Macaca mulatta: one gene and its partners. The protein of the gene in region 3 interacts with the protein of the main gene of each other region in a pairwise test. Links are inferred from orthologs where the notes say so. Each region holds a gene or a part of one and is shown on either strand. Other genes may lie near its edges.

What was found. The genes of interacting proteins can lie anywhere in the genome.
Region 1: the proteins of CDR2 (region 3) and CHIC2 interact in binary tests that used the Homo sapiens proteins (3 or more experiments, as listed by UniProt). The link is inferred for Macaca mulatta from reciprocal best matches to the Homo sapiens genes CDR2 and CHIC2.
Region 2: the proteins of CDR2 (region 3) and HDAC4 interact in binary tests that used the Homo sapiens proteins (3 or more experiments, as listed by UniProt). The two-hybrid records come from large-scale screens. The link is inferred for Macaca mulatta from reciprocal best matches to the Homo sapiens genes CDR2 and HDAC4.

Annotation. Positions count from the first base shown.
Region 1 is NC_133410.1:79,479,611-79,483,257, forward strand, and holds part of CHIC2 (cysteine-rich hydrophobic domain-containing protein 2), read left to right. Parts: intron 1-2,439; coding exon 2,440-2,496; intron 2,497-2,662; coding exon 2,663-2,722; intron 2,723-3,647.
Region 2 is NC_133417.1:144,361,832-144,365,478, reverse strand, and holds part of HDAC4 (histone deacetylase 4), read left to right. Parts: intron 1-2,733; coding exon 2,734-2,991; intron 2,992-3,647. UniProt on the Homo sapiens protein: Responsible for the deacetylation of lysine residues on the N-terminal part of the core histones (H2A, H2B, H3 and H4).
Region 3 is NC_133425.1:21,841,706-21,845,979, forward strand, and holds the start of CDR2 (cerebellar degeneration-related protein 2), read right to left. Parts: upstream 2,858-4,274; 5' UTR 2,783-2,857; coding exon 2,704-2,782; intron 1-2,703.

The DNA.
Region 1 (3,647 bases), on a different chromosome or scaffold from region 3:
ATATCAGGGCTTATTTGTTTTAGAATTCTTAAATATTGTAAGATACAATTATTATACCAAGCCCTATCATTAAACTCCTAATTATAGGCAAAGAAGAAATTGAGAATTCCTACATAAATATTTTGGAATTTAAGATTTATACTTTATAATTATCTTTTATTCAAATACTAGTAGTTGATTTAAGTTAAAGTAAATATTTTTAAGTTTTAAAATTGTGTGTATGAATGTGTCTATATATCATAATGAAATCTATCCTTATTATAGCATGGGTTTAAATTTCTGATGAAATGATGGTGGTAACTACATTTTTTTCTTTAAGTAATAAGTATTTGCAGAATGTAGTGTTAAGCTTCTGGGTACTATTTTATACATTAATATAAGACAATGGACTTGGAAAGCTTGTTCCACTCTAGTTCTTTCATCATCCACCAACCCCCAAAATCATCAGTAAAAGTAAAACCTCAAATTGTATAGTAATCTTAATCTATTATTAAAAGGCCCTAGAAAGAAAGATTACAAGGTAGATTCAGGTTTTGAATCGGTTTTGCCATTGGTTTAGCAGCGGGTGGGCAGGCAGATGCCTGCTCAGAGTAGAACCTATTGCCATTTTTCACCATTGATAGAGTAGCCTTTCAGAGTCAATGAGCTCTGTCAATGTGAGCTTGTCAAGGCTACAACTTCATAGACCTGAGAGGCGGTTTGAGAGGTCAGCCCTTTTCAGGTTCGCTGTGATGCAAATGAACTTTAATGCTTAAACAACTATTGGAATTTTTATGTCTGCTCCTTGTTCTTTTTTCTTCACAAAGTCATTGACGAGACATTCAGTGCTTTTTAAATTGGAAGTTGCATTGTGCTAAAGACCTAGTACAGATTTACGGAGGGCTGAAAGCAGTTAGATCATGTTCTTTTCATGGTGCGATTAGAATCAAATCGATTTCCCTACAGCCTTCAGCATTCAGATGGCAATTTTAACAAAGCTTGGGGGCTAGACAAGGGACAAAACGACCGAACTGAATGTTAATTACACTCTGCAGCCTTATTTTCTTTTGATTTGGGGCTGACTGGCAACTAAATTAACAAAAAGTGTGACCATAACTGCTGCCCTATTTTCATTTAAAAGGAGAGCTGCCTCTAAAAGGCTATCTTTACAAAGAAACAAGTGAGGTCTGCTGATCATTGTTAACAAGGGCACATTTTTTTCTTTAAAATTCTTGCCAAAAAGACTCTTCAAAAAAAAGTAATGTAATAATAAATTAGTCATTGGCATATGATTACCCAGAGAAGTAGCTGATTTTCTGAGTTTTGTGACATAAGCTTGGAAAACGTAAGGCAGTAGTCGTAATTCATTGGTAGTTATGAATTATAATTGGCACCTATGTGACTTTGGTGTGTCTTTAGCATGTTTAATATGCTAAAAGGTAAAGTAACTATTTAAAGTAGATATTTTAAATACATGTTAAAATTTTATTATGTAACATTAAACTGTTCAAACCCAGCTTGATCCTAACAGTTTTGCACCTAGCTAATCCTTGCTTGACATGCACATTTTCATATTTGATTACTAGTACTTCCTTATACCACATTAATAGTGGTAAGATGTTTTTTTCTTTCCTTTGCAAGAAAAGTGCAGCTGAACCAAGTTGCAGTTGATCCTGGTGGCAACACTGTCATTTTTGCACCTGCAGCTGTGTCAGTCTCATCCTAACACCTGGCACCATGAATTATCTTCTTTTATCCATACTCCCAAGCAGGAAACATTTCTTGCAGCATAGCGTATCTTGCTTGCATCAGTCAACTGAAGTAAATTCTCAGTTGATTCCTGAAACAGTAATATTGAATTAAGAGTTTGATTTTACTATCAGATGGCACTTTTATGTTGGTTTAAATAAAATTTTGACTCTTCAAAAAAATCTATTGGTAGAATAATCAGTAAGCTGTCTTTTAAATATGGGCATTATTTTAAGCATGGTGTGAAAATTAGTTTGATTTTATAATTCATTGATTTAATATTAACTTCCAATTTTTTGTTTTGGAACTTACTGAAAGGCCATTTGCATTTTGTTAACTAATATTTACTTTTGTTGTAAAATATGTATTAAGGAGCTTCTGTTACTATTTAAGTATTGGAAACATATTTTTGAAAAAAGTGGGGATTTAATTTTATTTGGCAGATGACATTAGCTTTTAAACCTTGATAGTTTTAAATCAGAGGCTAGTAAAAAAAGATTCATATGATAGAAATAAAGCCATATCTTTTTAAAGAAAGAGAACTCTTTGTGTTCAGGTTACCATTTAGTGCTTAGAAAATGGATAGTGATGCACACCACACTATACTCAGTCACTGTCTTACACCTCTTCCCTTTTCACAGAAAAAGCAGCTGCAAAACAAAGTTTTCTAAAACCAGTCAAGAGTAAACTTTTTTCTCATTTGTCTTCCAGACACGAAGATCGATTGAGAAGTTATTAGAATGGGAAAACAATAGGTTATACCACAAGGTGAGTACCACAGGGAGCAGCTTCGTACTGTTGGGGTCTGAATTGCACAGTATGGAAACAGATGCTTTTGTTGAACTAAAAATATGAAAGGTGGACAAATGGGTTAGTCTGTGTGCTGCAATAAAATAGAGCTCATTTTTCTTCTTTTACTCTCCTACTTGTCTAGCTGTGCTTGCATTGGAGACTGAGCAAAAGGAAATGTGAAACGAATAACATGATGGAATATGTAAGTTAAAGGGCTGTTTTGTGAGTTTCTCTATTAAATGATCATTTATTTTGCTTCTGATCTTATTCTTTCCATGATTATTAATCAGCAAAGGTGTCAGGAGCTTAATCTCCTGAGTGCAAGGATTTTCTACGGTTCACAGATGCATGGTTTCATGTGCAAGACTGATTTATAAAGTTATGAATGACTTGAAAACAAGGCTTCACTGTGTTCTGAAAAATAATAAATTAATTGCCAAGATAAAATAGGCTGAACATGTGTTGATGGAGTGTGAAATTTTAGATGCTGTATAAAGAATAACCACAACTTTGGTTACGCAGCAAGTCAGATATGGCTTTTTTATATAATGCTAATCAAGTTTCCAAGTATGGAAGAAAACCTTTCAGCCAAGCCATTGGAGCTTAAGAAACCTTTAGCCTTTATAGATTTTAACTGTCCGTACCTCAGTGCCCTTTAAAGAATCTGTTTTAAAGTGTTATTAGAATATCGCTTTGTAAAAATTAAAAGTAAGCAGGAAATGAGATGTTGATCATCTTGTGTTTACTTGTTAAAAAATATCTAATTTGGCATATATATACAATGAATTTTGTACTTACTCAGCATGGGATTTAATTTACTGACTCCATGATTTACTTGAGCAGTTTTTCTCCTTTTGAAAATTTCAGAATATTCTAGAAAATTAAGAATTTTAATTTTCTTTTGAGCTTGAGTACTGTACTTTAAATATGGCCAGGTTGTTACTTTAGAAGAAAAAGATCTAAGGAAAAATTAATTGTTGAAAGTAAAACTCAGAGCCTTTGTGAAGTATCTGTTATAACATTTCTGAGGAATTTTGCCTATTCTTTAAAACAATATAGCCATCATAGATGTGTGTGTGTGTATGTGTAAAATATTGATTAAAAGAGTGTTTTGTTGTAAATTATCA
Region 2 (3,647 bases), on a different chromosome or scaffold from region 3:
ACCTGCTGCGTGGGGACCGGTGTTGTCTGATACGGCTGACCCCTGGAAGCAAGCGGACACTGAGTGCCCACCGATCTGTCCCCCGTAGTTCAGGCAGCCCGAGAGGCCGCCTCGAGTGAGTGTGGGGCAGCACGCAGGGTTCTGAGGGTGTTTAAATACAAGGGCTCGGGGGATTTCAGGTGTCAGGCTTCCTTGCGCAGCTCAGTTTCCTTCTGGAAACAGTCAGATGTGGTGCTGAGATCCATCCTCCATGCACTGCAGCTCCTCTCTCTGCCAGGAACTTGGCTTGTCCCACCATCCCTCAAATCTGCCCTTCAGCCTGTTCCCCACAGGGACAGATGAATTGCGCATCCAGAGAGACCCCTCGATTTGGGGCTTTGGGATTGTGGGACGTTCTTTCACAGTCTGCAAAGGAGCGCCACTCAGTCAGTGCCTTCTTCTGAGAAACTGCGCCCTTCCTAGTCTAACTCCAGACCCCCACCTCCTCTCCTGAGCCTTTTTATGCCAGTTCCCACGTCCCTCTCTCCCCTCTTGCTCTCATCTCCAGCCTTTGCTCTGCTCACATTCATCCCTCTTCTGGCTCCCTTGCCCAAGCAGCTCCATTGCCCAAAACCAAGGAGTTGTCCTGGCCACCCTCTCTTCCCTCTCCATATGCAATCTGTCCCTGGGCCTGGAGCTGCTTCCTTTTTGCTGTCACAGAAACCTGTCCTTTCTCCCATGCCTTAGCCAGACGTGGAGCCGGCCTCACCCTTTCAACCTCTGGCCCGCCTGCCTGCCGCAGGGCATGTGTCTAAAACATGCACCTGCTTGTCTTCAGCCCAGAGTGCCCTTCCCACAGCCCCACCTCGTCTCCGGCACCCTGCGTCCCTGCTCTCTGGCCTTCCACGCTGTAGCCCTGCTGACTCCTCACAGCTCCCGGAGAGCACTGAAGTCAGCCTTACACCCCGTTCCACTTTGCCCCACTACCTGGACGCCCCTTGCATTTGCCCCGTCCTTTTAGTGAATGTGCAATGAGTAATGCCTGTGCCACATGGATGAGTCAGAAGGGGTCCCTACCCCCCTGGGAACTGCAGACTGCAGGAAAGATGGATACATGAATGGCAACCACAGGAAAGCCAGAGGACGGCGGGGGACTGGAGGAGGGCACATTGCACTATCAGGAAGATCAGCTGACCCTTCCTGGAAAAGGTGGCATGCACAGGAGGCCCACAGAGCCTCTCGCAGTGGCCGAGGAAGGAAGAGAGGCAGTGGGCTGGAGGCGAGTGTGGCACGAGGGACGCAGAGCCGGCAGTGCGCTGGGGAGCAGGGTGGCAGGGAGAGAGAGGGAGGCTGCAGGGGCGACATGGTCAATTGATGGAAGGGCTCTGCAGCAGAGGCAGGATGGCGGAAGAGCACTTGGGGGACGTTCAGCAGGGGAGTGACCAGGTCCACTGGCCCGTGTGAAAGCGCACCCTCACTGCTACATGAAGAAGATTGCAGAGAGTTGACGCTGGAGGTGGGGGCTTCCCGGGGGCCATGCTGCCATCCAGGCAGGAGAGGCCAGGTGGGACCAAAGCAGGAAAGGCAGGAGGTCGAGGCTGGAGAGAAGCAGCACCGTCCAGAGGCGTTTCTCATGAGCAGTGCGCGGGCAGTGCTTGGCGGACGGAAGTAGGAGTTTGGGGTGTGACTGGACAGCTGGCCAGAGAGAGGTTCCAATAGCCAAGAGTGGGTCCTAGAGAAGGGAGAGGCTTGGGAGGAGCTCTCTGCGTTCGGCATTGGGCCTGCTGTGCTGGCCTGTGAGGTCTGACAGGAAATGAGGTCAGGGAGCATCTAGGGAGTCCCACAGGAGGGAGGATGCCACGGTTCTTGGGGCCCCATAGTGGGGCAGGTCATGCAGGACCCGTGGAATCCTGCAAGAAGGGAGGTCATGGTGTCCCTGAGATCCTGCAGAAGGGGAGGCCATGGCATCCCTGGGATTCAGCAGGAGGGGAGCTCATGGCACGTCAGTGGGATCCCACAGGAAGGGAGGTCACAGAGTGTCCATGGTATCCCAGGAGGGAGGCCGTGGCATCCCTGGGATTCAGCAGGAGAGGAGGTCATGGCACATCAATGGGATCCCATAAGAAGGGAGGTCACGGAGCGTCCATAGTATTCCAAGAGGGAGGCCATGACATCCCTAGGATTCAGCAGGAAGGGAGGTCCTGGAGTGTTCCCAGGATCCGGCAGGAGGGAGGTCATGGCACATCGGTGAGACCCTGCAGGAGGGGAGGCCGTGGCGTGTCAGTGGGCTCAGGCAGTGAGCATTGTGGACGTCGATGTCTTCCGCTGGGTGGGTGGTGGCTGTTTCTCTCAGCAGTTGTGGCTATGAGGTCAGCATTGGCCTCTCCTTCACACTCAGGCTCCCCTCTGCAGACTCGGTTGACACCTGCGGCTTCTTTTCTGTTTCTCGGTGCCTGACGCAGAAGAGGTGCTTAGTAAACCCCAAATGTTAGTCAGCCTCCTTCCCTGGGCCAGGTCACCTTGACCCCGGGCTGGGGTCCTGATGGGCATTATTTTCTCAGCACCGTGGATAGCGCCCAAGTGCCTGTTGTGCGGGAAGATGAAGGCGCCTGCTGGCCTGTGGCAGGGCGATAAGATGCCTTGAGTCCCTGATTGTCTGCCCCAGAGGGGGGTGGTTGGCAGCATCCCTCCTCCTGTCTGATGAGCTCAGAGGCCCCGGCTCTCTGTGCTTCATGTATTTCCTCTGCCTTGCAGATCATCCCGAAACCAAGCGAGCCGGCCCGGCAGCCGGAGAGTCACCCAGAGGAGACGGAGGAGGAGCTCCGTGAGCACCAGGCTCTGCTGGACGAGCCCTACCTGGACCGGCTGCCGGCGCAGAAGGAGGCGCACGCACCAGCTGGCGTGCAGGTGAAGCAGGAGCCCATTGAGAGCGATGACGAAGAGGCAGAGCCCCCTCGGGAGGTGGAGCCGGGCCAGCGCCAGCCCAGTGAGCAGGAGCTGCTCTTCAGACAGGTGACTACAGGCAGGGAGGGCACCAGCAGGCTGGCACGCACAGCCACCCTCGATCCCCGGGCAGCATCTTCTGTGTGGTGATCACGGGAGCTGCAGGGCATCCTTGTGCTGTCGCTGTCCAGTGTCTCACCCGTCTTGTCCTGGCCAGTGAGGGAGGTTGATGTGGCTTCTGTTTTGTCCCAGCTGTTCCTAGCGATTCGAGATGTTTGCCCACTGCGGGTGGTTACGTAACTGCTTTCCAGCCATGCACAGGCCCCAGAGAATGGGTTTCCTTCCTGTTTGTAGGCTGTAAATGATCACAGCATCCACGTGTTAGTGAGATACAGCATGCTTTTTAAAGAAGTGAAGGAAATAGAGGTATTAATTGATCAAAAAGACAGGCAGGGTCTGATCAGAAGTCAAGACCTTTTGTGGCCCAGTGGTGCTAATGAGCAGCCCTGCAGATCCAGACAAGACGGGTACGATCGTGGCACCCAGAGCCAGTAAGGCTTCAGGGCACTGACACCCAGTAACCAAATGCACAGGAGCCTGATGAAGAAGGCCAGTGAATGATTGGTTAATTTCCAGTGAAACATAAAACTTCTGAGTCAACAGAAATACCTGAGGCATTTGGGCAGCCAGCTGGAGCCCCGTATCTGCAGCCAGAGTGTCCTCAG
Region 3 (4,274 bases):
GGCTTACTGCAAGCTCCACCTCCCGGGTTCACGCCATTCTCCTGCCTTAGCCTCCCAAGCAGCTGGGACTACAGGCGCCCACCACCATGCCCGGCTAATTTTTTATTTTTTGTATTTTTAGTAGAGACAGGGTTTCACCGTGTTAGCCAGGATGGTCTCGTTCTCCTGACCTCGTGATCCACCTGCCTCGGCCTCTCAAAGTGCTGGGATTACAGGCGTGAGCCACCGCGCCTGGCCAGACCTGTGTTTTTAACGTTAAACTTGAAGAGTTGATGACTTTATTTTGATCAGAGGTTAAAGAGAATTCCACCTGTAACCCTGACACGCTGCACTTGCTGCTTGATAGACTGAAGTGTTACAGCTGGTGGTTCCAAACAACCTCCAACAGTGGGAGAACGCAGCGTGGACTAAGGCACCTGATGGAAGAGAGCCATGAAAACACTTCTGTGATAGTGCTTCAGTGCAGTTCAACAAATACTAAAATCGAGCTTCCAGTATGTGCCAAGTATTATGCTAGATGCTGGGAATACCAGAAAAAAGAACCTGCCCCCTCTATACCCTTAAGGATTTATGCTTCTTAAATTTTTTTTTTTTTTTAAGACAGAGTCTCGTGTCGCCCAGGCTGGAGTGCCGCGGCGCCATCTTGGCTCACTGCAACCTCGGCCTTCTATATTCAAGCAATTCTCCTGCCTCAGTCTCCTGAGTAGCTGGGATTACAGGCACATGCTAATTATAGGCACGCCTGGCTAATTTTTGTATTTTTAGTAGAGACGGGGTTTCACCTTGTTGGTCAGGCTGGGCTCAAACTCCTGATCTTGTGATCCACCCGCCGCGGCCTCCCAAAGTGTTGGGATTACAGGCGTGAGCCACCGCACCCGGCCTATGCTTCTTAAATACAGGAAAGAAAAATATTTAGTTGTGATGATACAAATTAAATTATAGGGAAATACTGCAATGGCACAGTGGTTGCCTCACAAATCCTGGAGAAACTATCAAACTAGGCCATCAATCCCTATGGGGAAATCTGAAAACAGGTTTGTTAAAACGTATGAGAAATGTGTCCTTTGGACATAAAGATGATGCCACCAAACACTGCACTGCAACCACTAAGCAGCTTGGACTCTATAAGCGTAATAAAGGTGAATTACTTTGGTTAAAGTGATTGCATGTTAATTTAAGAAATTATCTTCCTCCAAAAGAGGTGCTCGTTTTATTTTCCTTTTCTGAGTTACTCAAGTCTACACAGTTTCCTTCTGCCATGTTCAGTGGTTAGCATGAACAAGCATCTGCCATGTTCAGTGGTTAGCATGAACAAGCATCTGCCATGTTCAGTGGTTAGCATGAACAAGCATCAGCATCATTCAATATTTAACTAAATGAGATGTTAATTTTCACTGCAAGATTAGAGCTGAAAACATTTACATAGAATTGCAGAAACCAAAGATGCCGGGAAAAATTCCTGAGGATTATTCACAGTGTTCAGTATAGCGGTTAAGAATGTTTGCTCTCGAGTCTTAAGGGGAACCCTAGCACTCCCCAACATTATCACCTCTATTGTGTTACTGGGAGATAAATGAGCAACTCTGTTATGGGCCTATCAGTGTTAGGCACATCAAAAGTGTTCCCCAATTGCTAGCTCCTGCTATTAGTATAAAAAAAAGTGGGGCCCCACTGGCCCCAAAGTGTTGGCTGCTCTATGATTGTTCTCTGGAGACACCATCGGCAGGCCTATTTCTAAGTGAAAGCTGGCATGCAAACTGAAGAAAAGTGGCAGAGGTAGAAGCGCTCTTCTGTCATTTCAACTGGCATCTGGTGAACTATGCGTAACAGCTTAATTCCCAACTGAAAAAAAACTGTTAACTAGGATGGTAAGGAAGGGATGGGGGTTTGAGGAGTGACTACAACTCCTCCTTTTGAGTGTGTGGGTTCAAAAAACCACTCCCTCCCCCACTTAGCTTTAGGCAAGCCACTCAACCGTTTCAACCTCCGCTTTCCTCATCTGGAAAATGGGATAACAAAAGTTACTCTCAGTGTAATTGGATTGTTTGTACCTCAATGGATAAATGCTGGAAGGGATGGACGCCCCGTTCTCCATCACGTGCTTATTTCACACTGCGTGCCTGTATCCAAACATCTCACGTACCCCATAAATAGATACACCTACTATGTACCCTCAAAATTAATCAATTTTTTAAAAGTTACTGTCTCCTAGAGTTACGGCGCAGAGCGCACAGCTCCCGCTACATCGCAAAACCACTACCACCTGCAGCAGCCGGCCCTCCGTGCTGGCCAAGAAAGGCGCTGGGCTACACAGCCTGCGAGGGGGCGGCTTCTCGGGCTCTGCCACTTACTACGGGACACACTGGCTCACCCGGTCTGCCTCGGAGGAATGCAGTGAGGATTAAACTAGCTAATCCACGGAAAGCGCTTAAAACGGTGCCTGGCGCGTCCCTGGCCCCCATGCGCCTCGGGTCTGATATTCAACTGCGCATTAGCAGGGCCGTGGGCCCCGCGCCGAGGCTTCCTGCGGGCGGGATCCACGGGCACGGCCGGCCCCGCCGCCAGGTGAGCCCGAGCCCTTCCCGGCACCTGCATCCTCAGCCGCCAGAAAAAGCAACTTTTTAACAGTTTCGCAGCGGGGGCCTCCCGGGCCAGGCCGCCGCCGCCGCCGCCCGCCCGCCCGCGGGGCGCCCCCGCCCTCACCTTGCTGGAGGTCCTGGTGGTCGTACCACGGCTCGTCCTCCTTCATTTCAAACTCCTCCACCAGGTTTTCCGCCAGCATCTCGGCTGGGTCCTCTAGGGGCAACGGTCCCCGCCGCCGCCGTCCCGCCTCAGCCGCTGCCCCGGGCTCTTCCCCGGCCCCTCCGCCCTCAGCCAGAGCCGCCCTCGGGCGGGACGCGCCGCCGCCCAGGCTCCGCCGCGCCGCCTCAGCCCCGTTCCCGCCGGCGACCGCCGCCGACCGGCCGGCTGCTTCGACTCGCCTAGCGCCTCCCAACGGCCCCAACGGCCGGGCGTTACGGCGCGAACGTAGGGAGCCAGGTTCTCACGCTGCCGCCGGTCTTCACGCCGCCGCCGGGCCCAACGTGGCACTTTGGCAGAACCCTCCCCGGCCGGGGATGCGATTCAAACCCCCGGCGGCTTCTCAACCAATCGCGAGCGGGCCGCTGGCCGAGCGACAGGGACTTCGTCCAATAGCGTCTCTCCAAAGACCCGCGGCTCGCCCGGTTTCGAGGCCAAGCAGCCAATGACGGGCCCCGAATAAACAAAGAAGGCGGGGAAACAGTGAAGGGGTGCGGCCGAAAGCCCGCCCCCTGATCTGCGCTGTGCGGCTCCTAGGAGCGCGTACTAGGTTCCGGGCTGTGGAGCTGGCGGAGGCGAGTCCTGCCGCTTTGGTGGGTGTCCCGAGGCCAGCGCGTCCGTGGACAGGCAGCGCAGGCCGGAGGGCCTAGGACTTCGGCCTCTGAGAGGCGGGCGGTTGTCGAGAGGCGTCCTTCGTGCCGGCGGGAAGCGCGAGGGTGCCGGAAGCCGGAGGTCCGCCGCCCGGCTGCCGCTTCTCGCATGTTGACTCTGAGATTTGCTCCGGGTCCGGCAAGGAGACTCGGAGTCGATCGGGAGTTTAGGGCTGAGAAAACGCCCACTGAGCGGTAGCTCTTGTCTCGTTGACATCTGAGCTCTGGGAATTACGCTCCCTAAAACGGTGGGCGCCAGACCCCGTTGAGAATCTGGGGCAGTGAGGGATGCCCGAAGCTGTCCACTTGGAGGGGGAAAATTGTAAGCAGGGTTGCAACGATTTTTAAAAGGTACCTCTAGACCACAAGTTAAGCATCTGGGGACGTGGCATTGCACCTGGAGGGGTCAGGCTGCAGCCCCAGCACTTAGTAGCCAGCAAGGCAGAGCACGCTGTCCTCCACCGACATAACCCAGCAAATACTGCTCATGAGTAAAGCTTTTAGCACCATCTTACAGACAAAGCACGGAAACTCTTAAGCAGGATGACAGACCTGAAGGTCAATGTTCTCAACCTTGACGTAAAGGTAAAATTGCAGCTGATGGAAGACAGCAGGGCCAATATCTAGCAAACTTTGAGCAACGAAACAAAAAAATCGAGGTTTAAGTATATAATTGAAAGATTATCTCTAGAACATAAGGTAATAAACTGTTAGAAATTCGGAAAGAGGGAAGAGGTGGAGAGGAGTGTTAGTTAAATCCTGATCTATTTTAGCAGTGAGTCGACAGATAATACCTTACATTGATAATCCAATAAATCGTTTCCA